7 linked regions of the Callithrix jacchus genome follow. The protein of the gene in region 1 interacts with the protein of each later gene in a pairwise test. Links are inferred from orthologs where the notes say so. Each region holds a gene or a part of one and is shown in the gene's direction. Other genes may lie near its edges.

The links.
Region 2: the proteins of HOXA1 (region 1) and SPRY1 interact in binary tests that used the Homo sapiens proteins (3 or more experiments, as listed by UniProt). The two-hybrid records come from large-scale screens. The link is inferred for Callithrix jacchus from reciprocal best matches to the Homo sapiens genes HOXA1 and SPRY1.
Region 3: the proteins of HOXA1 (region 1) and ADAMTSL4 interact in binary tests that used the Homo sapiens proteins (3 or more experiments, as listed by UniProt). The two-hybrid records come from large-scale screens. The link is inferred for Callithrix jacchus from reciprocal best matches to the Homo sapiens genes HOXA1 and ADAMTSL4.
Region 4: the proteins of HOXA1 (region 1) and TRIM42 interact in binary tests that used the Homo sapiens proteins (3 or more experiments, as listed by UniProt). The two-hybrid records come from large-scale screens. The link is inferred for Callithrix jacchus from reciprocal best matches to the Homo sapiens genes HOXA1 and TRIM42.
Region 5: the proteins of HOXA1 (region 1) and EGFL7 interact in binary tests that used the Homo sapiens proteins (3 or more experiments, as listed by UniProt). The link is inferred for Callithrix jacchus from reciprocal best matches to the Homo sapiens genes HOXA1 and EGFL7.
Region 6: the proteins of HOXA1 (region 1) and MGAT5B interact in a two-hybrid assay, tested with the Homo sapiens proteins (2 studies listed by BioGRID). The two-hybrid records come from large-scale screens. The link is inferred for Callithrix jacchus from reciprocal best matches to the Homo sapiens genes HOXA1 and MGAT5B.
Region 7: the proteins of HOXA1 (region 1) and TRIP6 interact in a two-hybrid assay, tested with the Homo sapiens proteins (2 studies listed by BioGRID and IntAct). The two-hybrid records come from large-scale screens. The link is inferred for Callithrix jacchus from reciprocal best matches to the Homo sapiens genes HOXA1 and TRIP6.

What each region holds. Positions count from the first base shown.
Region 1 is NC_133512.1:30,997,651-31,001,588, forward strand, and holds the start of HOXA1 (homeobox protein Hox-A1), read left to right. Parts: upstream 1-1,138; 5' UTR 1,139-3,839; coding exon 3,840-3,938. UniProt on the Homo sapiens protein: Sequence-specific transcription factor. Regulates multiple developmental processes including brainstem, inner and outer ear, abducens nerve and cardiovascular development and morphogenesis as well as cognition and behavior.
Region 2 is NC_133504.1:74,302,575-74,306,874, reverse strand, and holds the start of SPRY1 (protein sprouty homolog 1), read left to right. Parts: upstream 1-1,500; 5' UTR 1,501-1,642; intron 1,643-2,317; 5' UTR 2,318-3,206; intron 3,207-3,432; exon of another isoform or gene 3,433-4,300. UniProt on the Homo sapiens protein: Inhibits fibroblast growth factor (FGF)-induced retinal lens fiber differentiation, probably by inhibiting FGF-mediated phosphorylation of ERK1/2. Inhibits TGFB-induced epithelial-to-mesenchymal transition in lens epithelial cells.
Region 3 is NC_133519.1:10,457,224-10,461,512, forward strand, and holds the start of ADAMTSL4 (ADAMTS-like protein 4), read left to right. Parts: upstream 1-1,489; 5' UTR 1,490-1,581; intron 1,582-1,747; exon of another isoform or gene 1,748-1,975; intron 1,976-2,362; coding exon of another isoform or gene 2,363-2,600; intron 2,601-2,602; coding exon of another isoform or gene 2,603-2,641; intron 2,642-2,643; coding exon of another isoform or gene 2,644-2,676; intron 2,677-2,678; coding exon of another isoform or gene 2,679-2,801; intron 2,802-2,803; coding exon of another isoform or gene 2,804-3,105; intron 3,106-4,162; 5' UTR 4,163-4,247; coding exon 4,248-4,267; intron 4,268-4,289. UniProt on the Homo sapiens protein: Positive regulation of apoptosis. May facilitate FBN1 microfibril biogenesis.
Region 4 is NC_133518.1:43,744,948-43,749,149, reverse strand, and holds the start of TRIM42 (tripartite motif-containing protein 42), read left to right. Parts: upstream 1-1,402; 5' UTR 1,403-1,568; coding exon 1,569-1,909; intron 1,910-4,202.
Region 5 is NC_133502.1:185,120,567-185,124,820, forward strand, and holds the start of EGFL7 (epidermal growth factor-like protein 7), read left to right. Parts: upstream 1-1,454; 5' UTR 1,455-1,686; intron 1,687-2,696; 5' UTR 2,697-2,751; coding exon 2,752-2,804; intron 2,805-4,254. UniProt on the Homo sapiens protein: Regulates vascular tubulogenesis in vivo. Inhibits platelet-derived growth factor (PDGF)-BB-induced smooth muscle cell migration and promotes endothelial cell adhesion to the extracellular matrix and angiogenesis.
Region 6 is NC_133506.1:132,799,356-132,802,623, forward strand, and holds the end of MGAT5B (alpha-1,6-mannosylglycoprotein 6-beta-N-acetylglucosaminyltransferase B), read left to right. Parts: intron 1-335; coding exon 336-592; intron 593-1,055; coding exon 1,056-1,254; 3' UTR 1,255-2,768; downstream 2,769-3,268. UniProt on the Homo sapiens protein: Glycosyltransferase that acts on alpha-linked mannose of N-glycans and O-mannosyl glycans.
Region 7 is NC_133503.1:12,855,965-12,859,937, reverse strand, and holds the start of TRIP6 (thyroid receptor-interacting protein 6), read left to right. Parts: upstream 1-1,173; 5' UTR 1,174-1,276; coding exon 1,277-1,385; intron 1,386-1,631; coding exon 1,632-1,759; intron 1,760-1,878; coding exon 1,879-2,121; intron 2,122-2,251; coding exon 2,252-2,623; intron 2,624-3,973. Other genes in the region: SLC12A9 (solute carrier family 12 member 9), read left to right, coding at 1-398. UniProt on the Homo sapiens protein: Relays signals from the cell surface to the nucleus to weaken adherens junction and promote actin cytoskeleton reorganization and cell invasiveness. Involved in lysophosphatidic acid-induced cell adhesion and migration.

The sequences.
Region 1 (3,938 bases):
ATAAAACAAAACAGTGATTACTATCTGGAAAATGCACCCCAGAAAAGGTTCTTTCCAACCCTGTGGTTCAGTCACTCTAGGATTCTTTTTTTTTTTTTTTTCCGGGTCAGAAAAATCAATATTTCATTCTTAAAACTGTTTACATTGTTAATAATGGATCACTAAAGCTTCGAAGTCAGGTTACCAAGTTGAGATTTAAAATTGTGTGTTTCTACACCGTAGGTTATAAATTAAGCCAGTTTCTAGAAAGAGAGAAAAGCACTTTAAATGAAATACCAATAAAACGTGATCTAGGGTGTGTCACTGGGTTGTTGCTTTTTCCCCCCTCCCTTCTTAGGTATCCCCATGTTTATTTTTCCCTTTCTGAGCTCTGTTCTTACTTACCGTGAGAAAATGCAGCATGTAAGCAACATGCGTGTGGGACGGGTTGATTTAAGAACCCAGCTCTTATCAGCAAAGGCTTGAAAGTTCCAAGGAAAACGCAATGTTTCTTCATAGATTTGCTCCCTACCTTCCCTTGCCCCTTCCTCCACTAAATCTCAGCCGCGGCGGCAGAGTGTAGGGACTATGGCTGGTTTCCGGCCCCAAGCTCATCGCGGAGCACGGCGTCCTGGCCGCGGCCAGGGCGGCGCAGCTCCTGGATACGATTCGTCCTACGCTCATAAATCAAACGCTTTCTATGAATGAGAATGTCGTCAAAGAGATCAATTGCAGGAACACATGCACAAATAAAAATCCTCTTACGTATTTGCCGGGGATCCCCGTCCGAAAGCATTAAGTTAGAAGGCGTTTAGTCATAATTCATTTTTATTGCTCTTTTAAAACAACAGCTTGGCTGAGCTGCGGATGCCATGAACAGCTCAGGGCCTCGGCAGCGTTTTGTTTCTTCCTTATTCCTTCCCATTCTAGTAAAAGAGCCCTGAAAGAGGCGTTTTGAGCCAAGCAAACCACTTGCAGGCGATCATTTTAATCTTGACCAAGCTTGCCTTTCACCCACTCTCCCAAGGCGTTGCAAGAGACCAGTGCGAATCTTCGGGTGCTGACCTACTTGCCTAGAGGGCTAAGGGTCTCCTACTCCGTGGAACGGCCCCCAGGATTTCTAGGGGGAGGGAGATTGGGAAAGAATTGATCGAGCTACAGAAGCCAAAGGCTCAAGGCCAGGGGAGGCTGCCTTTGTGTGCGGTTCCCGGAGAGCGGCGCTCTGGGCTGCCAGCCGAGGCACAGCCGGCCCGGCTGCGAGCGCCCGGCCTGCAGGGAGCCAGGAGCAGTAAACAGAGGAGGGCGGCCGCGGGCCTGTGTGCTAGTGCAAGCTCGTTATCCCAAGAAAAGGACTCCACCCAAGATGCCCCCGAAAAGAGGCCAGGAGAGAGGAAGAGAGGCTGAAGGAGAGCAGCGCCGAGACGGCGGAAGTAGCAGAGGAGGTAGAGTGGCTCCAGCTGGGGTTGGCTTTGTGGCAGGCGCCCTGCAGCCGAAGGGGTCCTGAAAATCCAGGCTGAGGAGGACAACCAAGGTACAGGAATGAGACAACAGGGGAAAATGTACCAACTTGCTCGCTCAGGCTTGGAGGGAGGAATACTCGCACAGCCAGCACTTACCTACCTCTTCACATCCTGTCCCCTCCCCCACAGGAGTTCCTTCTCTCCCCGCTGCGGGAAGCTGGAGCTGGCAAGGAAGCCGCCTCCAGGAGGACTGCCTTGCCTTTCCCCTTCTCCAAAACCAGGATTCCCAGGAGCTGAAACTGGGGCAGGGGTGACCTTTCCTGCCTGTGCTCCCTCTTAACCATGCTTGGGATGGATCCAAGTCACAGAGAAATACCATTCCAAAAGGAAATGTTTGGGGAGAATGTTTCATTGCTACTGAGGGAGACCAGGGTCAAAGGTCTGCGTGGATTTTCTTTCTTGAGGGGACAGGTCTGGGGGGAACTTCAGTAGTGGAGAAGAGAATACAGAAGACTGAAAGGGTGACTAACATATTTGAAATGTGCCTGCCTTGAAAAAAAAAACTTCCTTGTTCTAACGGGAGGAAAGGCTGAAGGGGAGTGGAAACTCCAGACCCACATACATTCCTCACTATAAATTTAATCTGTCGGATTCCAACTTTGTACACATGGTTGGAGTAAAATTTATACAGCATTGGCTGTAAAGCTTCTTGGATGATCTCTCGATTTCTCCTACCCAAGATTGCATCAGTTCTTGATCTGTTTGGGTTTTTCTCTCTACAAGCCCAGGGTTAACGTGAAACCTAATAGTAAACAACAATTAACTACCCCATCAGCCTCAGGGTAGAAGGAGGGTGATGGGGAACAGGACCCCTGGCCTGGGATGACACTCAGATTTGCACGTGTCTTTCTAGGCAAAGACTAGAAGGTTCTCATAAGCAACTACACAGTCCGTTGGAAAGGGGAGGAGGTGACGTTGGGGTAAAGTGTTCCGTCCACCATCAGCCATCTGTCCACCGCCACTCCCACCTGCCAGTCCCCACACCCACTCCAGACGTGCAGCACAATGAGGGGGGTTATAAAAGGAAGCTCTCTCTTTCTTCTAACATCCCTCTCCAGAAAAAAAGGAACGCGAGGGGAGTTCAGCGTAATTTGTTGGAGCTGTGGACTGGCCCTGTGAGGCCCACGCAGGCTCCTGGGTCTCCGGGAGCTGGCAGATGGCCTGCAGCACACGGCCCGGCCCCCACGCTGGCCACGTCATCTCTCTCCCCCGCCCCCTACCCCTCAAAATCCGGCGGCTAGTAGTTCCGCATCCCGGAGGGTTCCCCGTGGAAAACTGAGCGGGGGAGACAAAGGGGCGGAGGAGGGAGAGAAAGGGGCGGAGGGGGAAGATAAAGGGACGGAGGGGGAAGAGAAAGGGGCGGAGTGCGAGGAGAGAGGGAGGGTGGGGAAGAAGAGCCTGGCCGCCCCCGGCGTTTTCGGGGCTCTTCCGCCCCCGCCCCCGCTCCCCCACCGCCGGTCGAATTACAGAAGCTCCTCATTGCCATGCTAACGACGAGAAAGGGTAGTTGGGAGAGAGTTTCGGAGACCATCCAGGAGAGAGGAAAGTTTCTTTCTTGCCCTCGTCTCCTTCACGCTCACCCAGCCAGCCCTCTGCGCTCTTCCTTATCCATTCCGAGCTTGGAGAGCCGGTGGCCCAGCCTCGCCCTCCGCCACGGTTTTCTGCGCTCCTCACAGCCCCACGGCCTCCCAGTCCATCCTCAGAGCAGAGGAGTCGCCCTGGGAACCCGGGGCACTGTGTCAGCCGGATTCCCGGCCTTCCTGCTCGGCGCGCTCCAGGTTCGGCCCGCGTACTTCCGGCCACCTGGCCCACTGATTCCCGCCCCGAGAGAGCCGAGAGGCCTCTTCCCTTCTCACCTCTCGCCAGTTCATCTTTCGGTGCACGGTGGGGAGGAGGAGGGGACGGGGACGGGGGACGCCTCCCAGCCCCCACCTCTCGGAGGCCGGAGGGGGAGGGAGCAGCGGAGTCGGGCGCGCGCAGAAGGCAGGCTCTGCTCTCCTTCGCCGCAGCACACCGAATCGGCCTGACAGTCGCTGCCGCAGCTGCCGCCGCCTGGGCTGCCTGGGGGGGCGACTGCGCGTCACCTAGATGAAGGAGCGCCGGGGATTTAAATGCCACTGAAATGGTGATCCATCACCGCGGAAGCCGGCAAACTTTTGCAGGAGGCTCAGCCATTGGTTGACACCGTCACGTGCCCCTCCCATAGCGTCCTCCGCCCTCCGGCCCCCCCCTCCTGCGCACTGTACATTCATGTCATTTTTCTTCTCTGGTCCCATGGAGGAAGTGAGAAAGTTGGTACGGTCACCCAGGGCTTCGCAGGACCAGGTCACTCAGTGACAGATGGACAATGCAAGAATGAACTCCTTCCTGGAATACCCCATCCTCAGCAGTGGCGACTCGGGGACCTGCTCAGCGCGAGCCTACCCCTCGGACCACGGG
Region 2 (4,300 bases), on another chromosome or scaffold:
GATATGACATTCTGTGTTTGATTTGTCTATTCCAAATACAGTCACAAGAAACATATCCATCACTGGTAAAATTTCATTACATCCCAAAATCTAATGAGATCTAGTTAAAAAAAGAACATACAATACAATCAATTTTATGCTTTTAAATAGCCTATTTTAATACCATTCATAATATTAAGAGTGAATATGTAGCTTTATGTGAATATCAAGCTTTTTGGCTTCTTATTCTATGCAATTTTCTAGTGATGCTTTTTTATTGTTATTGATGTCCTTAACAATGCCCTGTGTTCTTTAGTGGAATTCCAAACACAACTTTAATTTTTGAATGTGCTCAGACATTTGAAAATCCCGTGTGTATGTGGAAGTGTGTGTGTGTGTGTAATGTATGTATATATTTACAAGTTTCAACAGAAGTGCTTGCTATTGTAAATAAGGAGACTAAAAATGCTTTGAACTAAAAATTTCGATACTCATGTTCAAGTATGACTTAGATTCTGGAGTTTTGTTTTTGTTGCTTTGTTTTGCCAGACTTTAAGCTACTCCTGATACACAGTACCCGAAAAAATATTTCCTTTCCACTAACTATAAGTTTGGTTTTTAGGTGGCTTTTAAAAGTTTCTATGGAACCTTAAATTCCACATATAGTTATTCTCATTGCAGTATGAAAGGCACAATTTTGATAGCAAATGTCTAAAATCCCGTAGTTTGTAAGAAAGCAAGTTTCCTACTTAGTGTTTTTTTCCCAGTCACATCAGATATTACTAAGAATTATAAAACTTCTTGATAAATGTTTTCTATTATAATTGACTTTTAGCTAATTAAAAATATACAGGTTGGTATTTTTGCAAAATTATACAACTATATTACATAATGGAAAGAATTTGGTTTCTTCTCCATGTGCTTGATTTGTGGGAAATCATATAACAAGCCAGGTATAGCAATTATTTTTTTAAAAACCCAAAACAGAAAATGTCCCCATTATTACATATCCTCATATTACATTTGCAGCAAGACATGCCACCTTTTGAACTTTAGATTTCACATATTCTGAACTGTGTTGTATATAGGAACTGTAATATTATATAATCATCTTTTTGTGTCAATGTACATTTTCCCTCTAGTTGTTCAGAAGTGATGGCTTGGCATACAACTTTTTTCTTCTTTTATTCCTAACAATTCTTTTCTAATTCAACTTAAAGAGTTCAAAAATCCTTTTAATTGAGATCGACAATTAAAGATTGCTAACTAAATCCGAATGTATTCCTCTATGACAAACTGCATTTGCAGAATTTGTAGAGGCACTCCCGAAGTTTTAAGAGGATGTTTATTACACGAGTCTGAAGGGCAACGTTTCCAAGTTGATACACATAAACGAAAGAGGAAACGAATTTAAGGAAATCCTGTTCCAGGTTTTCGGGCAGCCCGAGAGATTGACACATGATATCACCGGAGGCGTGTCCCGGAGTGGAGGTGGAGGTGGAGGCAAGGAGCTGAAATTCTGCGGAGCCGGAGTGAGATCGCTCTGTAAAGCACGCAGTGGTTTGCAGAGTGATAGCAGCAGGCAGAGTTCCCTACCCTGGATAAGGAACAACTACAGTCGCTGTAAATGTGCCTGAAAAGCAATTTCCAATCTTTGCATTAGGTAAGTACCGTTTCCTTCCGTAGACATTTTAGGAAAGATAAGGTGAGAAATGTTGACTTCTGCAAGGAACTGAACATTGCTTTGAACTCGCGTTCGAGCTAAGATTATTCATTGCATTTCAGAACACCGGTTGCATTCCCATGCTAAAAGTAATGCTCTTAAAGTAAATGCTACCGCTAATAGAAAAAGGATCCCTTTCACCTTCCTTTCCTTAACCGAACAGTAGCAAGTTGAAAGTCTGAAACGATCGAATGTGTGAAACACAGGGCCGTTAATGCCTTTATACGAAGAGGGGCTGGCACTTGGTGTGTGGACCAAATGCGTGTTTGTTTAGGCATTGTTGGTGACCTAATCCCGAAAGAAGCATTGGTTTAAAACCTGAATTTCCCGTCTCTGTGTATTGATTGCTAACGCGCAGAGGCGTTGCTTGAACGTTGTTTGAACTTCTAGGCATTCCAGGGGGCAAAAGCACCTCGGCAAAAACGTGCAGGACTGCATGTTACTTTGGTTCGCGGCTGACACGCCGACTGTGCGCCGGCCTGTCAATCACTGGGAGCAGCAACAGGGAGCACATGGCAACGGGCTGCGGGCGAGCTGGCCAGCGGCCCGCCCCGCGTCCTAGCCCTTCGAAGAAAGGGACATTCACGAGCTTCTATGTCTAATCCTCTGTCGCAGGCATTTCGGACGTGGAACTGCAGGCTCGGAGGACTGGGTGTGAGCGCTGCCCCGGAGAGGCTGACCTGCCAGGACCGGAGTTTCCGGGGACGCTGTGCCCCCACTTGCCCTACGTGTGAGATCGGCAAAGCGCCTGGGCCTGAGCGGGGAACGGGACGACGCCCGCCTGTCTCCGAGAAGGATCCCCAAACCTCGCTCCCTTAACCCCTCCCCCCTAAAAACACGGGTAAAAAGATTCCCCTCCCCCTACCCGGCCGCGGCGGCCTCTGCCTGGCAGGCGCGTGCTCCAGGGTCTCGCGCGGGGCTTGCGCGGCTCCGTGACCCGCCCGTCGACTACGGTTCGAGCCCTGACCCGGACGCCGCGGAGTCTCGAACGCCCGTGACGTGGATTTTTCGTTCGTCAGGAAGCCGCCATCCCTTCCTTCGTTCCCTGAGAGGAGCGACCAGAACCGGAGACGTACTCTGAGCACACCGTGCCGTCAGCTAGCCCGTCACGCACTCGACTCTCCGCCACTCCCCTGCTCGTTTTTCTGAGACTCGAAGAGCCTTCCCGAAAGGATTTGTAAAAACTGGTTCTTAGAAAGGGACTGCGGAAGACCTCGTGAGGTGGATGTTACTGAGCCGCCCGGCGAGCGCCAGCCTTGAGAGGTCCGGCCGGGGCCGCGCGGAGCCGCGGGAGAACTGCCCTCCGCAGCCGGAAGGGGGCCGCGAGGAGCGCTCCTGCCCGGTGGCGGCAGGGGCGGGGGAGGCCGCGGGCCGAGGCGCAGCAGCTCCGGCGATGCCGCCTCGCCCTCCCCGCCTCGGTTGATGCGGCGCGTGTACGCCGCCGCGCGCACCGGGACCTGGGCCGGGTCGCACGGCTTGGCCCCCAGCCACCGCTTCGGCCTAGGTGAGTGTGCGGCGGCCGCGCTCGGCCCGCGGGGCGGGAGGCGCGCAGGCGGGGCTTGCTCGGCGCGGCAGGTGCGGACTCGGCTGCGCGGCTGCCCTGGCCCGGACTCCGGGAGGGGAGGGGACAGGAGGAAAGAGGAGGGACGACCCTGCGCGGCGCGGCCCCACCCGCCCCCCCCCCCCACCCCGGGAGCCGAGGCTTCTGGAGCGCTCGAGGTTGGGTGGCTGGGTGGGGGACGGTCCGCGGCGGCGGAGTGTAGCGAGACAGGGTCTCCCCGAACCCCGGTTACCCTGAGCGGCGGCACGGTGGCCTGGATTGTCCTCTCCGAGAGCCCTTCACCCCCGAGAGGGATTCCAGGCGGCTCTTGGGGTGTCCCCGGGGGCCCTCTGTGTTGAAGTGTGCTTCAGGCATGGGACTGGCAAAGGCTGTGTGTGTGTGTGTGTGTGTGTGTGTGTGTGTGTAGGGAAGCTATTCCCCGGAATTCACCGGTCACCCCTCGATAGATTAGCCTGTCCCAAAGCCAGCCGCAACTTTCTTCTTCTTTTGAGCTCAGTGTAAAGGCGAGGGAGAGGGCACTGCCACTTTAAAAATGGGGAAGTCGACCGGGAGCGGTGTCTCACGCCTGTAATCCCATCATTTTGGGAGGCCGAGGCGGATCACCTGAGGTCAGGAGTTCGAGACCAGCCTGGTCAACTTGACTAAACCCCGTCTCTACCAAAAATATAAAAATTAGCCGGGCGTGGTGCGCGCGCCTGTATTCCCAGCTACTCGGCAGACTGAGGCAGGAGAATCGCTTGAACTCGGGAGGCAGAGGGTGTAGTGTGCCGAGATCGCGCCACTGCACTCCAGCCTGGGAGACAAAGTGAGACTACGTCTAAAAAAAAAAAAAAAAAAAAAAGTGGGGAAGTCCGCCCTCCTGAGTTTGTGCTAATCTCAGCCTCCTCCCCTCCTCTTGCCGGAGAGAGGGAGAGAGAACTTGTTTTCATTCATAACTTTTTCCCTTTCCTTCCTCTCCGTCAACTATTTATTCAGTGCGGATTGCAGAGGGCGCAGCTCCACCGTCGTAGCTTACAATGTGGCCATCCCTGCGCTGG
Region 3 (4,289 bases), on another chromosome or scaffold:
GCCTGTCTTAAAAACAACAAACAAACAAAACCTTTAAAACACTGAATAGGCTGGGCGAGGTGGGTAATCCCAGCACTTTGGGAGGCCGAGGAGGGCTGATCACCTGAGGTCAGGAGTTCGAGACCAGCCGGACCAACATGATGAAACCTCGTCTCTACTAAAAATACAAAAATTAGCCAGCGCCATGTCAGGCGCCTGTAATCGCAACTACTTAGGAGGCCGAGGCAGGAGAATCGCTTTAACCTGGGGGGCGGAGATTGCAGTGAGCCGAGATCACGTCACTGTACTCTAGCCTGGACGACAGAGGGAGACTCCATCTAAAAAAAAAAAAAATCAGTGACCATTTATTATCTACTCTATGCCAGCCATTTTACATATTTTATTTATGCATTTATCTTTGAGACGAGGTATTATTCCCGGTCTCTCTCTGTCTCAGTGTGGCACGATCGTAATTCACTGCAGCCTCAGGCTCCTGGGCTCAGGCGAACCTCTCACCTCAGCCTCCGGAATAGCTAGAACTACAGGCTTTCACCACTCCGCCCAGCTTCCATATATTAATTTTTAATATAACCAATAGATGGATTACTCTTGTGGTTAAAAATTTCATAAAAATAACATAACACGTAGAGTAAAAAGCAAAAGCCGTTTTCATTCTTCCCCCCACCCTGCCCTGCTCCCCAGACGCCACCAATACTTCTGAGTTTGGAGTGCATTCTTCCAGATGTAAATGGATAGAGACATCTCCAAGCCCATCATACATATTAGATTAGTCCCACTTTGCAGTTGAGCAAACGGCACCACACCGAGGTGGAAGTATTCACCGAAGCCCACAGAGCTGGCAAGTGCCGGAGCTGAGGTTCAGAGCAAGTCAGCCTGACCCAGAAGTCAGCACGCTGTCCTTCCGCTAAGTCCCGAGTGCAAAACTTTACAGAGGAAAAACCCGAAGCTCCCAGAGGTCGCAGCAGTCCGAACCACAGGGTTCACTGCCCAGCACGGGAGAGGCAGGAGTGACTGAGCTCGCAGGGAGGCCGCGGGAGGAGAGAGCCTGCACCCACGCGGGTCGGGGGCCGCGGGCACCCCCGTCCAGGGCGCCGCCCTCCCAGACCCACGGCTGTCCCAGGCCGCCCGGCTCCTGGCGCCCCTGGAGGCTGCCCCGCCTGTTCCGCGCCGCGCTCGCACCGCCCACCCGAGCCTCTCGGAGGCCCGGGCTGCTGAAGTCCCGAGTTCCAGCTGGGCACGAGGACAGCGCCCGGCAGCGACGGCCGCCTCCGACCCCGGCCGGGCCCGCCTGGGCTTCTCCCCACTGCAGCCGTCGGGGGGCGCCCGGCGCGCAGCCCGGGGTGGGTGGCCCTGGCGAGCCGGACCGCAAAGCCGACCGTCCACACCCCGGGGCCGCCGAGGGGCGCGGGCCGGGGCGCGTGGCGGGCGGGGCGGGGGCGGGCGAGGGGGCGGAGTCGCGGCCGAGGCGGCGGTGCCCGGAGCGCGGCTCAGGGGCCGCAGTGGCCGCCGCGGAGCGAGGCTGCCGGGAGAGAGCGCCCGGGCGCAGAAGGGTTAACAGGCCGCCGGGGGCGCGCAAAGCAGGTAGAGACCTCCCCGGGACCCCGCCCCGGCCGCCCCTTCCCCGGGTCCCGTTAGACCAACGGCCCCGCGCGACCGCGTCGCCCCTTCTCCCTGCGCTGTGCGGTCGCGCCCCTGCCACGACCCCGGCCCCAGTTCCAGTGGCCTCGGACATCTTCCAGCCCCTGGGGTCGAATTCCTGGGGAGGGGGTCTGATCCCGTGGAACTCTGGCCCCATCACACGTGCAGGGAGTGAGCGAAAATTCCCCTAAGTCACATAGTAACGTTGGAAAACAGACCCACGACCTCCACGAGCGCCTGGAGCCTCCTGCCCTTCCCCCAGGACGGTGCTCTGGGAGGCTGTGCCCCGCACTGCGCTCCTTGAGTTGGAGGAGCAGGGTCGCCGTGAGGGACGCAGGTGGGTGCCCTTGATGCAGCTCAGCCTGATGGCAGAAGAGGCTGACAGGAAAGAAAGTTGTTGGCGTGGCCTCCCAGACCCAGGAGTGGAGGGCTGTGTGAGGACCAGGGAATTGAGGCACTCAGACAGAAACACAGGGTCCAACCCTTCTCCAGAAGTGCCCCATGTCACAGAGGGAAGCCCTCGGGGTGAAAGGGTGAGCCCTCAACAGGTCTCTTTCCTTGGTCTTCACTGGGTAGTGTGGGGAGGTGTGGCCAGGTGGAACCAACGTTAGTCCAGACCAGGATCTAGCCTGGCACCAGAGCGACCACCTCTGACCTCTCCTGTCCTTGTCCTGGGCCAGGAGTGACACCAGATGAGCGACATGGAAAGGAGTCAGAAGCACAAATGTGTGTCTGTTTCGGCAGGGGAGGGGGCATGGGCCCCTGCTGGGCTGCACAGGGGAGGGTGGAGTGGGACTTTTCCAGAGAGGGAGCCAGGCCTGGCCCTGGCCCCGGGAGCTCACGTCACCCCCACCCCTCACTTCTCCAGGGAACTGCCAAAGCCAAACCCAGCTCGGGACGGGATTATGTGTACTGGGTAGACCCGGGGAGAGGGGCAGCGACAAGGAATCTGGGAGGCAGAGAGCGCATGGAGAGGGGTTGGCATCAGAGAAGGGGCAGGCAGTGAAATCACCCCATTTCTTCTTCCCTCAGCTGGAGTAAGAGGCAGAGGTTGAAGACTTGGGTGGAACATGGGCCCTTCTCTGGAGACCCTGGCCTCTGCCATTCAGTCAGGGTGGAGATGCTGACCTCAGTGGCCAGCCCAGCCGGGGGAAGGAGTGGTCATCACAACCCCCTTCCCAACCCGAAGCCATTAGGCGGCTCTGGCTCAGCCACTCTGACCCCTCCCTCACATTCCAGGCCCTGGGTCTCAGGGAGGGCAGTGGGGCTAAGCGACTGCTCCCAGGCACATTCCTACCCTTCTCTTGGTCATTTTCCACCCCAGAGCTGGCCCACCTCAGCAACGTGAGGGCTCCCTGGATTCCTCTCTCGGGTGCCTTTCAGAGCCAACAGCAACAGCTTTTTTTTTTCCTGGAAAGCAGAACTAAGAGTGGGGTGAGGAGCAGGGGTGGGAAGGACTCAAAGTGAGAAGGGGGCAAGGAGAGTGAGGCTTTGTGGCTGGGGAGGGTTCCAAGTCTCACTTCTCCAGTGTTCAAAGCTGGACTTCAGATGAACTTCTCGGCTCTTCAGAATGTGAGGCCTGTGGCTTCGGCTCGAGGCTGCACCTCTCCCCCCGGGTTCCCCAGCCTGTAGAGCTGCACAGGAAGCAAATCCTCGCTGAACCAACCCGGATGCTGGCACCCGGGGGTGTTACATCGCCGGCTTCTTCTCTAGAGATTAAACCATCAATCCACTTAGCTTATCCCTTGGCCAAAAAGCGTCTGAGACGTGCTTTCCGTAAGGAGCTTATCTAAGGAGGGAAGAGAAAGCGGGAGGCAAGCAGGACACAGGCCGGGCGGGTCCTGATTCTGGAAGACCTAAGGAAGGCGCTTCTGGTGGCTCCTCTGAGAGGGTCTGCACATCCTCAGTGGGGCCTTCCTCCTCTGCTTTCTAGGTATCTGGGAGGGCAGGGGTGGGAACCGATGACAACCATTCTACAAGGAGCCCTCTAACTAGGTGTGGTAACTCACACCTGTCATCCAGCGCTTTGCCCTTGAGGCCAGGAGTTCGAGCCCAGCCTGTACAATTTAGCTGGATCCCATCTCCACCAAAAATACAAAAATTAGTTGGACGTTGGTGGTGCTCGCCTGCAGTCCCAGCTACTCAGGACTGAGGAGGAAGGAGAGCCTGAGTTTGAGGCTGCAATGAGCTTTGATGGCACCACTGCACTTCAGCCTAGGTGACAGAGTGAGATCTCCATCTCAAAAAAAAAAATGCCTTTTGTGTGTGCCTGAGCTAGCCTAGAAACAGTCCCTAGGTAGGACTTGGGGAGGAGCTAAGAACCCCCTACAGGGCTCAGGGGTGGGGACTGGGCCTTAATTGGAAGGCTGAGGTCAGCTCCCAACCATGTAGCCTCTACACATGGAAAAGGCAGCCATCCTCCCTGTTCCCATGCTGAGGCTCATAAAGGGATGGGCAAGTCTCACCACCTTCTCCATCCTCTCTGGACACTGGAGAGGTAACCGCCAGGCTTCTGTCCCTGCAGAGAGCACCCTCCACGCCCAGATGCCTGTGTAGTGTTTGTGACCAGTCTGCTCCTCCCTTGCCCTGGGGCAGCAGAGGGAGGAGCGATGGAGAACTGGGTGGGCAGGTGAGAGAAGGGGATGGGGGGG
Region 4 (4,202 bases), on another chromosome or scaffold:
GGCAGGAACAGAGAGAGGCTGCTTATGAGTGTTTTTTGGGGGTGAAGAAAATATTTTGGAACTAGATAATCGTGATAGTTGCACAATTTTATGAATATACTGAAAACCATTTACTTTAAAATGGTGAACTGAATGGTAAGTGAATTACATATTAGTAAGTTTTTAACAAGACCTTACAGAAACCAATAGTAAAAATGTATCATAAATCTGGGAGTGAAACTCCAACCTATGTGCCTGGAGGATGGGGAGAAATATTAATGAAACAGTTTTGGCAAACATGGAGGGAAAAGGTGTTTCACTTTTTTGAACATCTTACATTACTTGCTGGTATTAACTGGCACATTTATTTAAGAAATTTGGCAGTTTGTATCAAAAAAAGATCAAGCACATATTCTGTGATCCAGGATTTTCACTGTTGGAACTCTAATATCAATGTGTGGCTGGCATAGTTGGCACTCAGTGATGTTCTTTCCTATTATAGAGGTGATAACCATAAGGAGAGATAATAAATTATGCACTTAATTCCTGCAGCCAAATTCAGCTCTTCTGCTTTTTACAAAAATAAGAAAATGTTCACACTATAACGTACTATGACCATGAAATTTCTGTTCCTTTAATCTTCGCAAGCTGCATAAATTGGAAAGTGAAATTTTTCTGTAAAATATAGGGTCTTGTTTCTAAGGATCCTGAGCATATACTAGCAGAACAGTGAAAGATTTCATGTAGAGTTCCAGTCTCTTTTTAAAAGGCATGTAGTGGGGTGGGAATAGGGTGGGGGAAAAGTGAGCAAGCTTGAGCCTCACCCAAACACCATGAAGCTACAAAAAGCCAAGAAATATTCAGATTGGCTTATGTATAAAGCTTCATGAAAATGAGCAGTGACTATGCATTGATTGATAAAATCAATTACTACTGAAAGAAGTCCCTAAAGTGAATCTATGTGTTTTTTAACTCTCTCCTAATGGTGATATCTCTTTAAATATCGCATTGCTATTATCTGGGGGATATATAATTCCTTTGTTCAAATAGAATTCTATCAGTTCCTCTAACATGAAGAAAACCATGTTATTCTACTTTGTACCCAAGCCTTTCAGTCTATGAAGACATAATATGAAGTCAACTTGCCCAAATTGCAGGCAGAACACCAAACAAGGAGAAACAGCTTCCGAAATCTCCATTTTCCAAAAGCTGACAAATGACAACTGAACTTCCGGAAGGCTCACTGCATCACCACTCCTCTACAGCTGGTTCCATGGAAGCATGGAGAGCCCATCAACATACCTGCTACACCCACAAGGCCGCATCCTCCTACCCACCCAGCATGGTAGAGAGAGAGGGATTGTGACATAAGCAAATACCCTCAGGCTGATATATGTAAATGCCAGCCTATGAGCTTCCTGGTAGGGACACCAACAGTGAACGCCTCATAACAGCCAACTTCTTGCAACTCCCAAGCTGACGGCCTCACAAGGGGGAGGAGAGACTCCTCTACTGGAGAACTGATAGCAGTATTCTGGTAGAGGGGGCATCAAAAATCCTAGCGGGGCAGTGTTAATCATGTAGGCACCATGGAAACTGCTATGTGTGTTTGCTGTCCATGTTGTACATGGCAGCGATGTTGTCCTCGGTTATGCTCCTGTCTATGCTGCAAGTTCATCTTTACCTCAGAGCGGAACTGCACCTGCTTCCCCTGCCCTTACAAAGATGAGCAGAACTGCCAGTTCTGCCACTGTACCTGTGCTGAGAACCCCAACTGCCATTGGTGTTGCTGTTCTTGGGCCAATGATCCCAACTGTAAGTGCTGCTGCACAGCCAGCAGCAACGTCAAGTGCTACTACTATGAGAGCCGCTGCTGCCGTAATATCACCGTGACTTTCCACAAGGGCCGCCTCAAGAGCATCCATACCTTGTAAGTGCCAGGCACCAGATGTGCAGCCACATTGGCTCAGGAAAACTAGGGACCCCTTGCTAGCTGTGAAGTCCACAGGGCAGGCCAGTGCCCCTCTGTGTTTATTTATCTAAAAAAAAGGAGCCAAGAATTTTGTAGCAATTAACTGTATCATATATGGTCACTATGTATGTAGACCATGAGCTCCAATCTAAGCATCATCGACTAGAGCACTTCACTCTTCTGAACCCTCTCTCATCTGTACAAAATAGTAATAGCTAATACTTGGTGTTTACACAATTTTCCAGGCATTTCATGCATAACCCAAAGTCCACTGTTCTCATGAGGAAACTGAGCATTTGAGAAGTTTCCTTCTCAAAGGAAACTTTGAGAAGAAGTTGCCCCAGGATGACACAGCTGGAAAGATTCAGAGTCAGAATTGGAACCTAAAATTTGTGATCTTAACTCTAGAATGCTGTATTGCAAAACAGAGACAAGACCCCCCCACCCCCATGATATTGTAGATATAAGAATTAATGTATATTCTTTATAATCTGCATGTTATAGAAAAATAAAAAGTGCTCATTTTCTTCCTATTAACTCTAAATACCTGCAACATTTATTGGAAAAGTAAGACCTTCTATGGGGCACTTTTGACCCTGAGAGCCATTTAAGTACCCCAGACATCCAGGAACTCCAACTGCCTTCTCTTTTTCTCATCCAGAAGTCACGGAACTTGGGGTCTCAATTATTCATTTGGAGTACTAATCCTCCATATCAGGTCTTACATTATCCTCACCTGCTCTGCCAAACAAGCCTTTTTATGTCACACATGAGGGGAGTCTGAAGTACTAAGAGCACACTTCTTAGAAAAGATGACAGCACTATAAGATGACAGGATTAGAAGAAGCAGAAAAATGGCAGGCCAGTTTGAAAGCTTTCAAGCCTGGAAAAGCAATTCTGCAAGCAGAAGTTTAGTGAACTTAGGGGAAAGATATTATCCATCTTGCCATTAAATCTTTAGTAGCTCCTTAACACCCATAACTCTCCACCTATGGCCCTCTCATAGTATCTGCATAAATAGGAAATCCAGGGATTCTCAGTCCAAGTCTAGAAATACTAAAGTGTGGGAAATAGTGTCCACATTCCTCTCTCAACTACCTAATTCTCTGTGCAACAGCAACTGAGCCTCTGAGCCCATTTCAACAGGAAAAAGATAAAATTGGTCTTTAGGAAAATGCCTCAGGCATCAGTTGCTCCCTAACGTTATTGTGCATTGAAGTCACTTGGGGATCTTTAAAAATTACTGATGCCCGATATCCACCCCAGAAACATTCTGATTGTATTGGTCTGGGGTACCACCTGAGCATCTGAATTAATGAGCATCGCCCCTTCAGGTGATTCTAATGTGCAGAATGGCCTGCAGGTGCAAAGGTGGGAAGCCAGGAGATTTGACAGGTGATACAGTAAGAATCCAGGTGCAAGAACAGGCCTGATTTTGGGAGAGAGGGGAGGCTGTGCAGAGGAGCAGAGGCAGGCTATCTCAGCAAGAAGATAAAGCACTGGTCTTGATGCTGCTTTGGAATGGAACCATGGCCACTGAATGCCCTGACCAAGCCTGAGGTTTGTGGAGGATGCGCAGGGATGCTAACGCATGTGTCAGGAGGTTGGCTCTGGGTGCTTGTCTTCAATCTGGCCTCTCTTCTGGCTTCTGACTCTTGGCCTCCTCTGCTTCTCATCACCACTTTCTGCTCAGCACCTTGCTTGTTCTGCCTCACTCTGGTCTCATTCATCCCTCTCTACCTTACTCTTTTTCACCTCTACCACAGCTCCCTAGGCCATTAATACCTGTCTCTTAGCCCTGAGCCCTCTTTCTCGTCCTCCAACATCTCCCTCCCTACTTCTTATTTATGAAAATTCTAGCTCATGAGCTTCCTAGTAGGAGTACCACCTGTGAAGGACTCACAACAGCCTCTTTATATTATACCTTGATTCTCAAGGCCTTTTTTTTTTTTAGCAAACTAAAGACCTGTACCTCCAGGTGATCCCTTCGGGACACAAGCAGGAGTCTGGGAAAGCAGAGAGGAAACAGAACTGAGAACATTGAGGCCAGCATGCCTAGAGCTCCCAGATCCCTAAAGGACAAATTTTTCAGGTGCCTTAGTCTACACAGGGAGCATTCTCTGTCGCCACATGGCCACTCCATTCCAATATGCTTGGGAAGTATCTGTGACTGTGGACTCAGACATAGGTCCCTGGCCAAGGGAGGGGGGAAGAAGAGAGGGACACATAAGGAATGCAAGACAACAAAAGC
Region 5 (4,254 bases), on another chromosome or scaffold:
CATTCTGATGATTTTGTAGTAGTATTGCTATATTGTCATATTTTTTCATGTAGGAAGGTGAAGAAAAATTTTTTTCTTTTGGAGACTGAGGTCTCGCTCTGTTGCCCAGGCTGGAGTGCAGTGGCACAACCTCAGCTTGCTGCAATCTCCGCCTCCTGGGTTTAAGCAATTCTTGTGCCTCAGCCTCCAGAGTAGCAGGGATGACAGGCGCCAGCCACCATGTCTGGCTCATTTTGTATTTTTAGTGGAGACGGGGTTTCACCGTATTGGGCAGACTGGTCTTGAACTCCTGACCTAAGGTGATCTGCCCGCCTCGGGCTCCGAAAGTGCTGGGGCTACAGGCGTGAGTCATGGCGCACGGCCAACAGAATCTTACTCTTTAAACAGAAGAATTCATCCCTAGGAAGAGACTTGCTTTGCAGGGGAGACACCTGGCTGGGCTGAGAGCGGAGGGAGGGCCTCGGGGAACAGGAACATGTGGATTCTGAGGCCCTGGGGTGTGGCCGAGGGGCTGTCTCCTGCCCAGGCTACAGGCCCCTCAGGCTCCCTTTGCCATCTCTAAGCCCACATCTCACTGCAGTTCAAGTTTACCACTGGGTGACACGCCCGGTGGGGGGTGAGGGCTCTGCACCTTCCCAGAACCTGCTGCAGGCCACCTATCCCAGGTCCGGGCCCTGCTCTGTGGACAAGTACCTGGGCAGCAGGGTGGTACATGGGCGGGATTGGACTTTGTGCTGAGCATGATGGGCACCTTGGGAGGAGGTCACATGACCCGATGTCGCCCTCCATGGAGCTCCCTGAGCACCAAGTGTGAGGGGCAGCGGCGCCCAGCAAGGCCGAGGAGGGGTGACTGTCATTCAGGCAGGAATCAGGGTGGATGGGACCAGGGTAGGGGCAATTCGGGAGAAAGGACACTCAGTTGCATTCTGGAGGCAAAGCTGAGGGGAACCTGCCAAGAAGCCAGCCCACAAGGCCATGGATGTCTCCAAGGCATCAGCTGGAGCAGCGGGCGGCCCCAGGCAGGGAGAAGGGAGCAGCAAAGGCAAGAGTGTGGGGTCCCCTGGCCACTGGGTTCCGGTCCTGGCCCTCTGCTTTCCACCCACTGAACAAGAGGCTTCTACCTGTGAACCTCCGCTGAAAATGGAAGCCCCTCAGCTCTAGAGTGTCGCTCCGGTGCAGGGGTCAGGGGCCCGAGCAGGCAGGGAGAGGAGAGGAAAGGCTGGGGGACCCACTTCTCCCTGCCCGGACCCTCTCTCAGGAGCAGAAGGCTCCTCTGCCCATAGGCACCCCTGCCTGGCACCTCCCTTCAGCCCCCGTTGGGACCGGGACTGGTGGGGACCAGGCACATCCTCTGATGGAAAGGTTCCACCACATCTGTGGCTGACAGAGCCAGCTGTCAGAGGCCAGGGGGCGCCGGGGTAAACAGGAAGCCCCATCCCTCCTGCACGTGCTTCACTCCCTTCTCCAGCACCTCCTGCAGCCCGGCTCCGCGGCCATGCCTGGTGCCCCTCTGCCTCTGGCCACCTGAGATACCCAGACTGGCCTCTGCCAGGGGCTCAGTCTGCCCTCTCCTGGGACTGCAAAGGCCAAAAGCACTTGGGTGAGGGGTCCAGGAAGCCCAGGAGGGCCCAGGGGCTCCGCCAGACCTCTCCACGCCTCTCCGCCCAGCCAGGGCACTCTGGGAAGGTAAGGCAGCCCTTCCCCTTACAACTAACCTCAGAGCATTCCCAGGCAGCCTGAAGGCCTCCCCTTAGAACTAACCTCAGAGCATTCCCAGGCAGCCTGAAGGTCACTGGGACAACCTGGCCCTACTGACAGGAGGGCCAATGAGGAAACTGAGGCCTGTGTGGGGCACAAAGCTGGGACCAGAGCTCCAGCTCCTGCCCCTGCTGGGCCTCCGTCTCTGACATCACCCCAGGCAGGGTGAGGCCACAGGCTCCAGACCTCCCAGTGCCCAGATGAGGACACATGCAGGCCTCGGGGCAGCCGCCAATCCCACTGGGTTCCCCCTCTGTGCTGGGCCCCTGCAGTGAGGGAGGGGGCCAGACGTGGGCCCGAGCTGTCTTCCGTGGGGCTGCAGTCTTGGCAGGAGACTGTGTGTGCCATGATCCCAAACCCAAGCCACCAGAGCGGCAAGGGCAGGGAAGGGGCGTCTCCAAGGACGGGAGGGTGAGGGAGGGGCGCGCCTGCCCTCTGCTGAGCCCTAGGCCTTGGGCACAGAGTGCGCTCCACCCAAAGCAGAATCTGGGGGCGGCCCCACCCCCCACACCCCCAGTACCCTCTGGAGTCCAAGAGGGTACAGACAGCAAGCATGTCTGTCCCCTGCCAATCCCTCGACCCTTCGGTACCTGATGTGACCCTGGCATTAGGGCAACACCCCAGCCCACCTCCTGCACCTGCTGCTTAGGCTCTGGGAGCCCAAGAGAGTAGAGTACCCCTCCCTTGGTGGCTCCAGGCCACAGGAGAGGGCACAGCTGGCACTCTGGGCCTGAGCCGGGGCCTCCTTCCCTTGGGGAGGGTCTGGTCTTGGCCTGGGGAGGGGCTGGGGGCAGGGCAGAGCTTGTCAGGAGGGGGTTGCAGTGAAAACAAGTTGGCAGCAGGCTGGGCGCAGCCCCCCAGGCTCGCACCCAGACCCCAATGCCAGAAGGGCAGCGTGGGGAGGACTCAGACTCTGCCCTCACCCCCTGGCCTGCAAGCCCAGCATTCCATTCACCGGGAAGGCCCCCAGCCGGCGAAGCCTCAGCGAGACTCATGCACTCAGCTACTTGGCTCCTCCTGCCTGCAGCCGCCCCCTGGCCAGACAGGTCTGTTGATAGGGGCTGCTCCAGGCTGGGGCACAGGACAAGCTGGGGTTGGGGGACAGAGGGCTCCCCAACAGGAGGAAGGAAGGAAGGGTGAGGCAGCTTCCTACACACCATCCCAGCCCTGCTGGCCTCCCTGCTCAGCTGGGCCAGTCGCCTCACCCTGTGGGCCTCAGTTTCTCCCTCTACACAGAAGGAGTTAGACCTAGCCCACCCCAGGTTTGTGGGTCCTTCCGCCCAGAAGCCAGCACAGATCTAGAGGAGTAAGGGCAGGGGGGAGGGGGAAGGTTGCAGTGACACAGGTGGAGGGCAAGAGGGCACCTCCTAGGATGGGGGCACAAGTCTAGTGGGCCCCAATATGCTGGTGGGACAGGCTGGCCAGGGCAGAAGAAGCCCCTGGGTGGGAGAGCCAGGGGGCCAAGGAAGGCACAGGGGGGCTGAGGGTGCAGCCAGTAGGGTAAGGGCCAGATCCCAGGTGGCCTAGTGTGGAGGAGATGGGGAAAAGGGGGTTCTGCCTATCTGCTCCAACCTTGGGGCAGGGGCCCCCTCTGGAAAGAGGCCCTTCCTGCTCAGACCAGCCGTGTCTGGTGCCAGAATTGCCCCCTTCAACCATCTTAGTGACCATGGGGCAGGTGCAGAAACTGAAGCCCGAAGAGTGAGGCCCTGAGCCCTGGGCACAGCCCGGCGTGCAGAGCAGATTCTTCCCTGGCCATGGGTAGAGGGGAGCTGGTCCCTGCTTGGGGGGAGGGGTGTCACTTGTAGGGGAGGTTTCCTGCCTGCCCGCCAAAGTCCAGTGGGGAATTTCCCAGCTGCCCGGCCTCCTGTGAGCCCTGGAAAGGTGGGGCACACTGACCTTTCCAGGCCCTGCTCCAGCACCTGGGTTCCAGCTGTGCCCTCCGAGGCCGCCCAGCTCCCTTCCACACCTCGTCCCCTCCCACCCCACCCACCATTGCCACAATGCCTCGCTCCGCCTGAGGTGCCCACGGCCACCTGAATAGGAAGCTGAGGGTCAGACCTGAGGGCTGGAACCCCGGGAACCTACCAGTACACCCCGTTATCACCCCATCTCCCACATCCCTCCCCAGTCTGCCACCAGCCAGAGCACCCCTGGGAAGTGGGGCTGGGGGCATCGGGCCTGCTTGTCCATCTCCAGGGCAGGGCTCACAGCCTCACTGGCAGCTATCTTAGGGAAGAGGCCTGAGTCACAGTGCTGAGGCCTGCCCCATGCCGCCACCCCCTACCATGGGCCTCAGGGACCCACAGAATAGGGTGTTCTCAGGCCACTCAGCCTGCCTTGCCCACCCCAGTCCCTTCCAGCTGGGCCTCGCCACCTGACACCCCCCACTGGTGTCAGGCTGGTCTCTGCCTTGGCCTGGGGCCCCTCCCGGCTCCCATGCTGTGTCACACACATCTGGGGGTGTCCTGTGGGAGGGCCAGTATCCTGTGGCCCACA
Region 6 (3,268 bases), on another chromosome or scaffold:
GTAGAAACCAGAGCTTGACTTGAGCATCAGGACAGCTCCAGGGCAGACAGGATGCAGAGAGCCCTGAATCCAAGTCCTGTTCTGTTGTCCAACCCCAAAGCCTTGGGCAGGCGCCGTGACCTCTCAGCTTCCATTCTCCCTGTAAGTGACCTGGAGACACAAGTGTCCATTGGAAGTCAATAAAATAATGCAGGTAAAGCTACCTGGTATTCAGTAAGTGCCCATTAGTGGTGGCTGGTACTGTGGCTTGTACTGGCAGGGCCACACCTTCAGGTGTCCCCCGGGTGTACCTGGCTGGCATTTCCCTACCTAACGCTGCTCCCCCCTCCTTGCAGGACTTCTGCACATCTCCAGGCCCTGCCCAACCAGGGGCCCATGCCCCGCAGAGCCCTTTTGTCCTGGCCCCAAATGCCACCCACCTCGAATGGGCTCAGAATGCCAGCTTGACCCTGGGGGCCTGGCCCCCCGTGAACTCCCTGCGGGCCTGGCTGGCTGTGCCTGGGAGGGCGTGCACCGACACCTGCCTGGACCACGGGCTGATCTGCGAGCCCTCCTTCTTCCCCTTCCTCAACAGCCAGGACGCCTTCCTCAAGTGAGTATGGGCCCCCACCCCCCAGCCCCCATCCTTGCTGGCCCAGCAGGCTCACCATGAGCTCTCATACCCAGAACTGGCCCTCAGCCCTTTCAGCGGTGGGGGATTTAATGCTTTCCAACGAGTCAGGAAGGACCCAGAAGGGACCCTCCAGGCCAACATCCAGGTCACTGCTGCCCCACTCTTGGCCAAGCCTTAAACTAGAGGAGAGGCTCCTTTCAGTCCCTGCTCTCCTTCACCCACTCAGCCCCCTACCCAGCCTGTTTGGGCGTTGTCTAGCCCAAACCATGAAAGCTGTCCTGGGTGTAACAGTAGGGAGCTGTAACACATTTCCTTATCCATTCTGGGATGGGGATGGGCCAGAGAAGGGGAGCAGGCAGTGCTGGGCTGTGGGGAACCCCTACCCTGGCCCAGCCCTTCAGCCCAAGCAACCAATGCTGAGTGATGGTGCTATGCATGCCAGATTGCAGGTGCCCTGTGACAGCACCGAGTCGGAGATGAACCACCTGTACCCGGCCTTCGCCCAGCCTGGCCAGGAGTGCTATCTGCAGAAGGAGCCCCTGCTCTTCAGCTGTGCCGGCTCCAACACCAAGTACCGCCGGCTCTGCCCCTGCCGTGACTTCCGCAAAGGCCAGGTGGCCTTGTGCCAGGGCTGTCTGTGAGGCCACCTCTGCCGCCCTGCCTGGCACCCACGGCTGGCTCTCCCCTGACACAGGAGAGAGTACCAGCAGGTCCTGGGCTCCGGCTGCTTGTCCTCCTCGCAGCTCCCCCAGGCTGGAGCTTACTTCCTTCGCCTGGAAGTGTCCAGAGGAGAGCCGTGCAGAGGAATAGGAGGCGGCGGCACACCGAGCCCCTGGGACCTCCCAGGCAGGCTCCTGGTTCTCTCCTGGGAATTCATGGCAGCATCAAGGCCAAGCAGATGTCGGGCTGCTCGGAGAGTCTGCAGGGCCCAGGAGCAGGTGGTCAAGGCCCCTTGCTTTGTGCAAGGCTGGATCTGGGCCAGATGAAGGGGGCCAGTCATTCTTGGGCCCAGGATGGGGCTTCTAGACCTGCAAGAGAGGGTAGCAGGGACCAGGCTGCCCCATGGTCCCTGAAGGGTTCAAGGAGGGCCCCTCCCCATGGGCCTGGATGGTACCTGCTCCCGGCAGGGGAATTGGGGGCTTACCCTCCTCCTGTGAGGGGAGCCAGGAACACAGGGCCCGCTGGCATTTGGGTTGTGGATGCAGGGGCAGAGGGTGGGTGGAAGGCTAAGCCAAGGGGCCCTGTTCGTGCCTCCCCTTAGCCCCTTTCCTCTCGGTTTCCCGATCCCACCACCTTCCCGCTACACTTGGGGACCACAGTTTGGGCTGCAGGGACCACCTAGGCCCTGGTTGAGTTGTTTCTTTCTCCTGCTTGTTCCAACCCTTTTCACTCCGGGCTTCTCCCAAAACCCATCCTGGCATGACCTGCCACTCCAGATGGTGGATTTGTTCCAAAGCCTCAAGCCCTGCCCCCTCCAAGGGGAGGTTTCCACCCCAGGCTCAGAGAACAGGCTCTGGGACCCCTGCCCGGGGGTGGCCTTTGTGCACCAGGCACTCCCACAGATACTGACTCCTTACCCCCCAGCATCTTTTGCAGACAGGGGCTTGGGATGGAGCCTCAGCCCCATGGCACTCCATGCCTAGTTTCCAGTTGCCCTGTCCACTTACCCAGGCAGCCCTCAACCCCACCCATGTCAAGTCCTTGTCCCTACCTCCAGCCTCAAACCGCCTTGAGATCCAGCCGTCCTTCCCTGAGTGGCATGCCTGCCACAGGACGCCCCCTTCCCCTCTCCCCCCGCCCAGAGCCCCGACTGCCTCAGCGGGTCAGGCCTTCAGAACACTGCCACCACCCAGTTTTATAATCCTGCTCCCTCTCCCAGCAACCCCACCCACCAACCTAGGCCTGCTCCTCCACCCTTCCCAGGAGGCAGCCCCAGGACGCTGAGAGTTGGTGGAGGGGCCAGGCTGGACACTTCCCACAGGAGTCCCCTCCAGACCTGGCTGGCCCCTGCAGCCGCAGAAACCACGATGGCAAGAAACTCATTGGTTCCCAAGGACTGACCTGTGGGGGAAAGCAATAGAGACACTCTTTTTTTCTCTTTTTTTAAAGATTTATTTCTTGAAATAATAAATATTTTATTGGGATGTGAGATGCAGAAGAGGAACTATGCTGGTTCTCTTTTCCTGCGGCATCCAGAGCTCACCCAGGGTGGAGGGGCAGATAGCTGATGTCTCCAGGTTCTGCTCCATGTCATGTGGGGCACACGGGGTGCTCAGGTCTGCAGAGCTGGGTGCTGTCTACTTCAAGCCACCCAAAAGAAGTCCCTGCTGGTGGCAGAGACCCAGGGTCATCTCCTGGCTGTTCCCAAGCTGTGACTGCAGGCACCCTGACAAGCAGTGGCATACTCAGTCATGTCCACGTTGGGCTGGTCTCTGCCCGCCTCCAGCTGGCTGTGACAGTGGCAGTGTGGGGTCAGGGAACACAAATCCATTTTGATAAGAGCCTGAGCCAGATAATGAGAAAATGAGCCAGTGTTTACCACCTCGGGCACTGGGCTGAGTTTGTCGCTTGCTTCAGTAGTCATTTCATGCACTCAGCTGCCCTAGCAGGTAAGTACTATTATATGAATCTTTCCATTTTACATCGAGAGGCACA
Region 7 (3,973 bases), on another chromosome or scaffold:
GGCGGCTGCGGGTGCTGCTGAGCCAACTGCGGATCCGGGCTGAGGTGCAGGAGGTGGTGTGGGGTGAGGGGGCTGAGGCTGGGGAACCCGAGGCAGAGGAGGAAGGGGACTTTGTGAACAGTAGGCAGGGAGACATGGAGGCAGAGGCCCTGGCACGCAGCGCCAACGCCCTGGTTCGGGCCCAGCAGGGGCGTGGCACGGGAGGAGGGCCGGGTGGGCCGGAGGGTGGGGATGCCGAGGGCCCCACCACAGCCCTCACCTTCCTGTACTTGCCTCGGCCGCCCGCCGACCCTGCCCGCTACCCCCGCTACCTGGCGCTACTGGAGACTCTAAGCCGAGACTTGGGCCCCACACTGCTGGTTCACGGTGTCACCCCGGTCACCTGCACTGATCTCTGATGCCCCTGCCTCCAGGGCTGGGTAGAGAGGGCCCAGGCAGGCAGCCCATCCTGAACCTTAGAAGAGGAGGAGGGAAGCACTGTGTCCTGTGGCCCTGCCCCTCGGGACCTGGATCCCAGGGGAGGATTTGAGGGGGTTCTGGGCTTGGGTGTCACACCCACCTCCTTTGGCAGAGGGACCCCAGCACAGTAACTCCGGGCGGGCATCCCCACCATGCAGGGGAGGGAGTCCGCAGCCTCCCTTCACTGGTGCCTTGATGCTAGGGGCTGGCCCTCCGAACTCTCGGCTACCTCAGTTTCCTCATCCTGGCCAGACTCAGTGGCCCACTGGGGTGGTGATGTTTTCATTCTGTTTTATTTTTCTAACTCTGCTGACCATGAATAAAAGACCAAAACACTACAGGCTGGCTGAGCCGCGCTGGTGGGTAGGTGAGAGGGAGGGGGTGGGAAAGGAGAGCTCTGCAGAGGGGTGGAGATAGGACCTTCAGCTTCCCGTAGCTAGGCTGCCATGTGCAGGGCTGGGGCGCGGGGCCCAGGGGGCATCTGTGGACTTGGAGACTGGCCTGGGCGCCCACCTCCCATTCCCAGCTGCCCACAGCCCCCAGTGACTCGGGCTCCTTCGGAGAGCCCTTCCCTCTCGGCGGGAGGGGGCCGACTCAGAGAGAAATGGCAGTTTAGGGCCTAGGGGGCCCACGTGACCCTCCCCCAGGAATGTGGTGACGTCATCGGGGGCGTGGTCGCCCCCAAAATTAGGGAGGAAGAGGAAAAAAAAGCCAGGAAAAGTTTTCTGGAGTCCGGAACGAGGCAGGACGGAAGAGGGGGTGAAGGCCCGAGGCTCTGGGCTTCAAGACCGCTGTCCGGAGTTCCCCATTCTAGGCCATGTCGGGGCCCACCTGGCTGCCCCCGAAGCAGCCGGAGCCCACCAGAGCCCCTCAGGGGAGGGCGATCCCCCGAGGCATCCCGGGGCCACCACCAGCCCACGGAGTAGGTAAGGCAGCCCTCGTGAGACAGGAGCCACCCCGCTATGGCGCTCACCTCTGTCCTCCAGCTCCAGCCTCCTGCCCTGCCGGCTTCCTCCTGCCCCTTCCCCAAGCCGATGGGAACAGCTGCCCGAGATCTCTTGGGACCTTAGATTCGGGGGAGAGGTAAAGAGGGGCGGAGAGGGCAGCGCCCCAAATGCACACCCCTCCTGTCCTCCGCCACCCCACCTTTGATCTCTCTTCCCTCAACCCAGCACTCCAGCCCCACCCCAGGGGCAATTTTTGCCCCCTCCCATCAGAGCAGTGTTACCAGGCCCCAGGGGCACCAGAGGATCGGGGGCCGGCTTGGGTGGGGTCCCATGGAGTACCCCAGCGCACGCAGGTGAGAACTGGGATTGCTGGGTGGGACGTGCGGGGTCCCCTAGAACCGCCTGTGAGAGAGCCAGGGCGGGAGTGGGGTCGTGGCGATTTGTATTCTCTCTGCTCTGGCTCCAACCCCAGGGGCTCCCTGCAGACAGGAGTGCCCTGCGCCCCGGCAGCCTGGACGCTGAGATAGACTTGCTGAGCAGCACGCTGGCTGAGCTGAATGGGGGTCGGGGTCACACGCCACGACGACCAGACCGACAGGTGACTCCCCAGTCCTGCCTCTCCTTCCCGTCTGCAGCCTCCTGCTTCTCAGTCTACCCCGTCATGTGTGTGCTGTGCACCCCAGCATGGAGGAAGCGTGGCTGCAAGTATCAACATGTCAGTCACCTGAGGACGGGACCTTGTCAAATGCAAACACCCGTGCTGCCCCACACTCGGGGTCATTTCCACAAATGTGGGTCCCAGAGTGGGGGCTTCGCTTAGGCTTCTGGTCTGCATTTCTCCTTAGGCATATGAGCCCCCGCCACCTCCTGCCTACCGCACAGGCTCCCTAAAGCCGAACCTGGCCTCGCCGCTCCCAGCGTCTCCCTATGGGGGCCCCACTCCAGCCTCTTATGCTACTGCCAGTACCCCAGCTGGCCCTGCCTTCCCCGTGCAAGTGAAGGTGGCACAGCCAGTGAGGGGCTGTGGCCCGCCCCGGCGGGGGACCTCTCAGGCTTCTGGGCCCCTCCCAGGCCCCCACTTTCCTCTCCCAGGCCGAGGTGAAGTCTGGGGACCTGGCTATAGGAGCCAGAGAGAGCCGGGGCCGGGGGCCAAGGAGGAGGCTGCTGGGGTCTCTGGCCCTGCAGGAGGAGCAAGAGGAGGCGAGCACGGGCCCCAGGTAAGCCCTGGGGAACTGGGATGTCAGCTCTTACAGGCAATGGGACACTGATTAGTGGGGAGGTTGGTGTTCTAGGGCGCTGGTTTTTTATTTTTTGAGAGGGAGTTTTGCTCTTGTTGTCCAGGCTGGAGTGCAGTGCCGTGATCTCGACTCACTGCAGCCTCCACCTCCCAGGTTCAAGTGAGTCTCCTGCTTCAGCCTTCCAAGTAGCTGGGATTACAGGCACATGCCACTATGCCCAGAAAAGTTTTGTATTTTTAGTAGAGATGGAGTTTCACCATGTTGGCCAAGCTGGTCTCGGACTCCTGACCTCAGGTGATCCATTGCCTCAGCCTCCCAAAGTGCTGGGATTGCAGGCGTGAGACACTGTGCCTGGCCAGGGGGCTGGTTTTGGAGCACAGTCAGAGGTCTGGGATGTGGAGCGGGTCAGGAAATACAGGGAGGGGTGGTGCAGGGATGAACTGCCCACGGGGAACCGGCACAGTGGCTCACGCCTGTAATCCCAGCACTTTGGGAGGCCAAGACGGGTGGGTCACGTGAGGTCGGGAGTTTAAGACCAGCCTGAGCAACATGGAGAAACTCTGTCTCTACCAAAAATACAAAATTAGCTGGGCATGGTGGTTCATGCCTGTAATCCCAGCTACTAGGGAGGCTGAGGCAGGATTATTGCTTGAACCTGGGAGGCAGAGGTTGCCGTGAGCTGAGATTGTGCCACTGCCCTCCAACCTGAGTGACGAGAGGGAACGAAACTCCGTCTCAGACAAAAAACAAAAAATAACTGGCCCCTTGGCTGAGATGTTCTCAAATGAGCTTTCTAGCTGGAACTGCCTGGCCATCTTCAGGGACATATAGCAGTCCCCAGCCTTTTTGGCACCAGGGACCAGTTTCATGGAGGATAGCTTTTCCACAGACTGGGGCAGGGGGGATGGTTTCAGGATGATTCAAGCGCATTACATTCATCGTGCACTTTATTTCTATGATAACACTAATAGAATAGAATATGTATAACATGTATAATTGTTTCATTATAATATATAATGAAATTATATAATTATAATATATAATGAAGCAATTCTACAACGCACCATCATGCAGAATCAGTGTGAGCCCTGAGCTCCTTTTCCTGCAACTAGATGATCCCATTTTGGGGTGACGGGAGACAGTGACAGATCGTCAGGCATTAGAATCTCATAAGGAACACGCAACCTAGAGCCGTTGAATGCACATGTGATTCCGTGAAGGCTTCCTATGAGAATCTAATGCTGCTGCTGATCTGACAGGAGGCGGTGCTGGGGCAGTAATGCGATGATTGGGAGCGGCTGTAGATACAGATGAGCTTTGCTTGCCCAT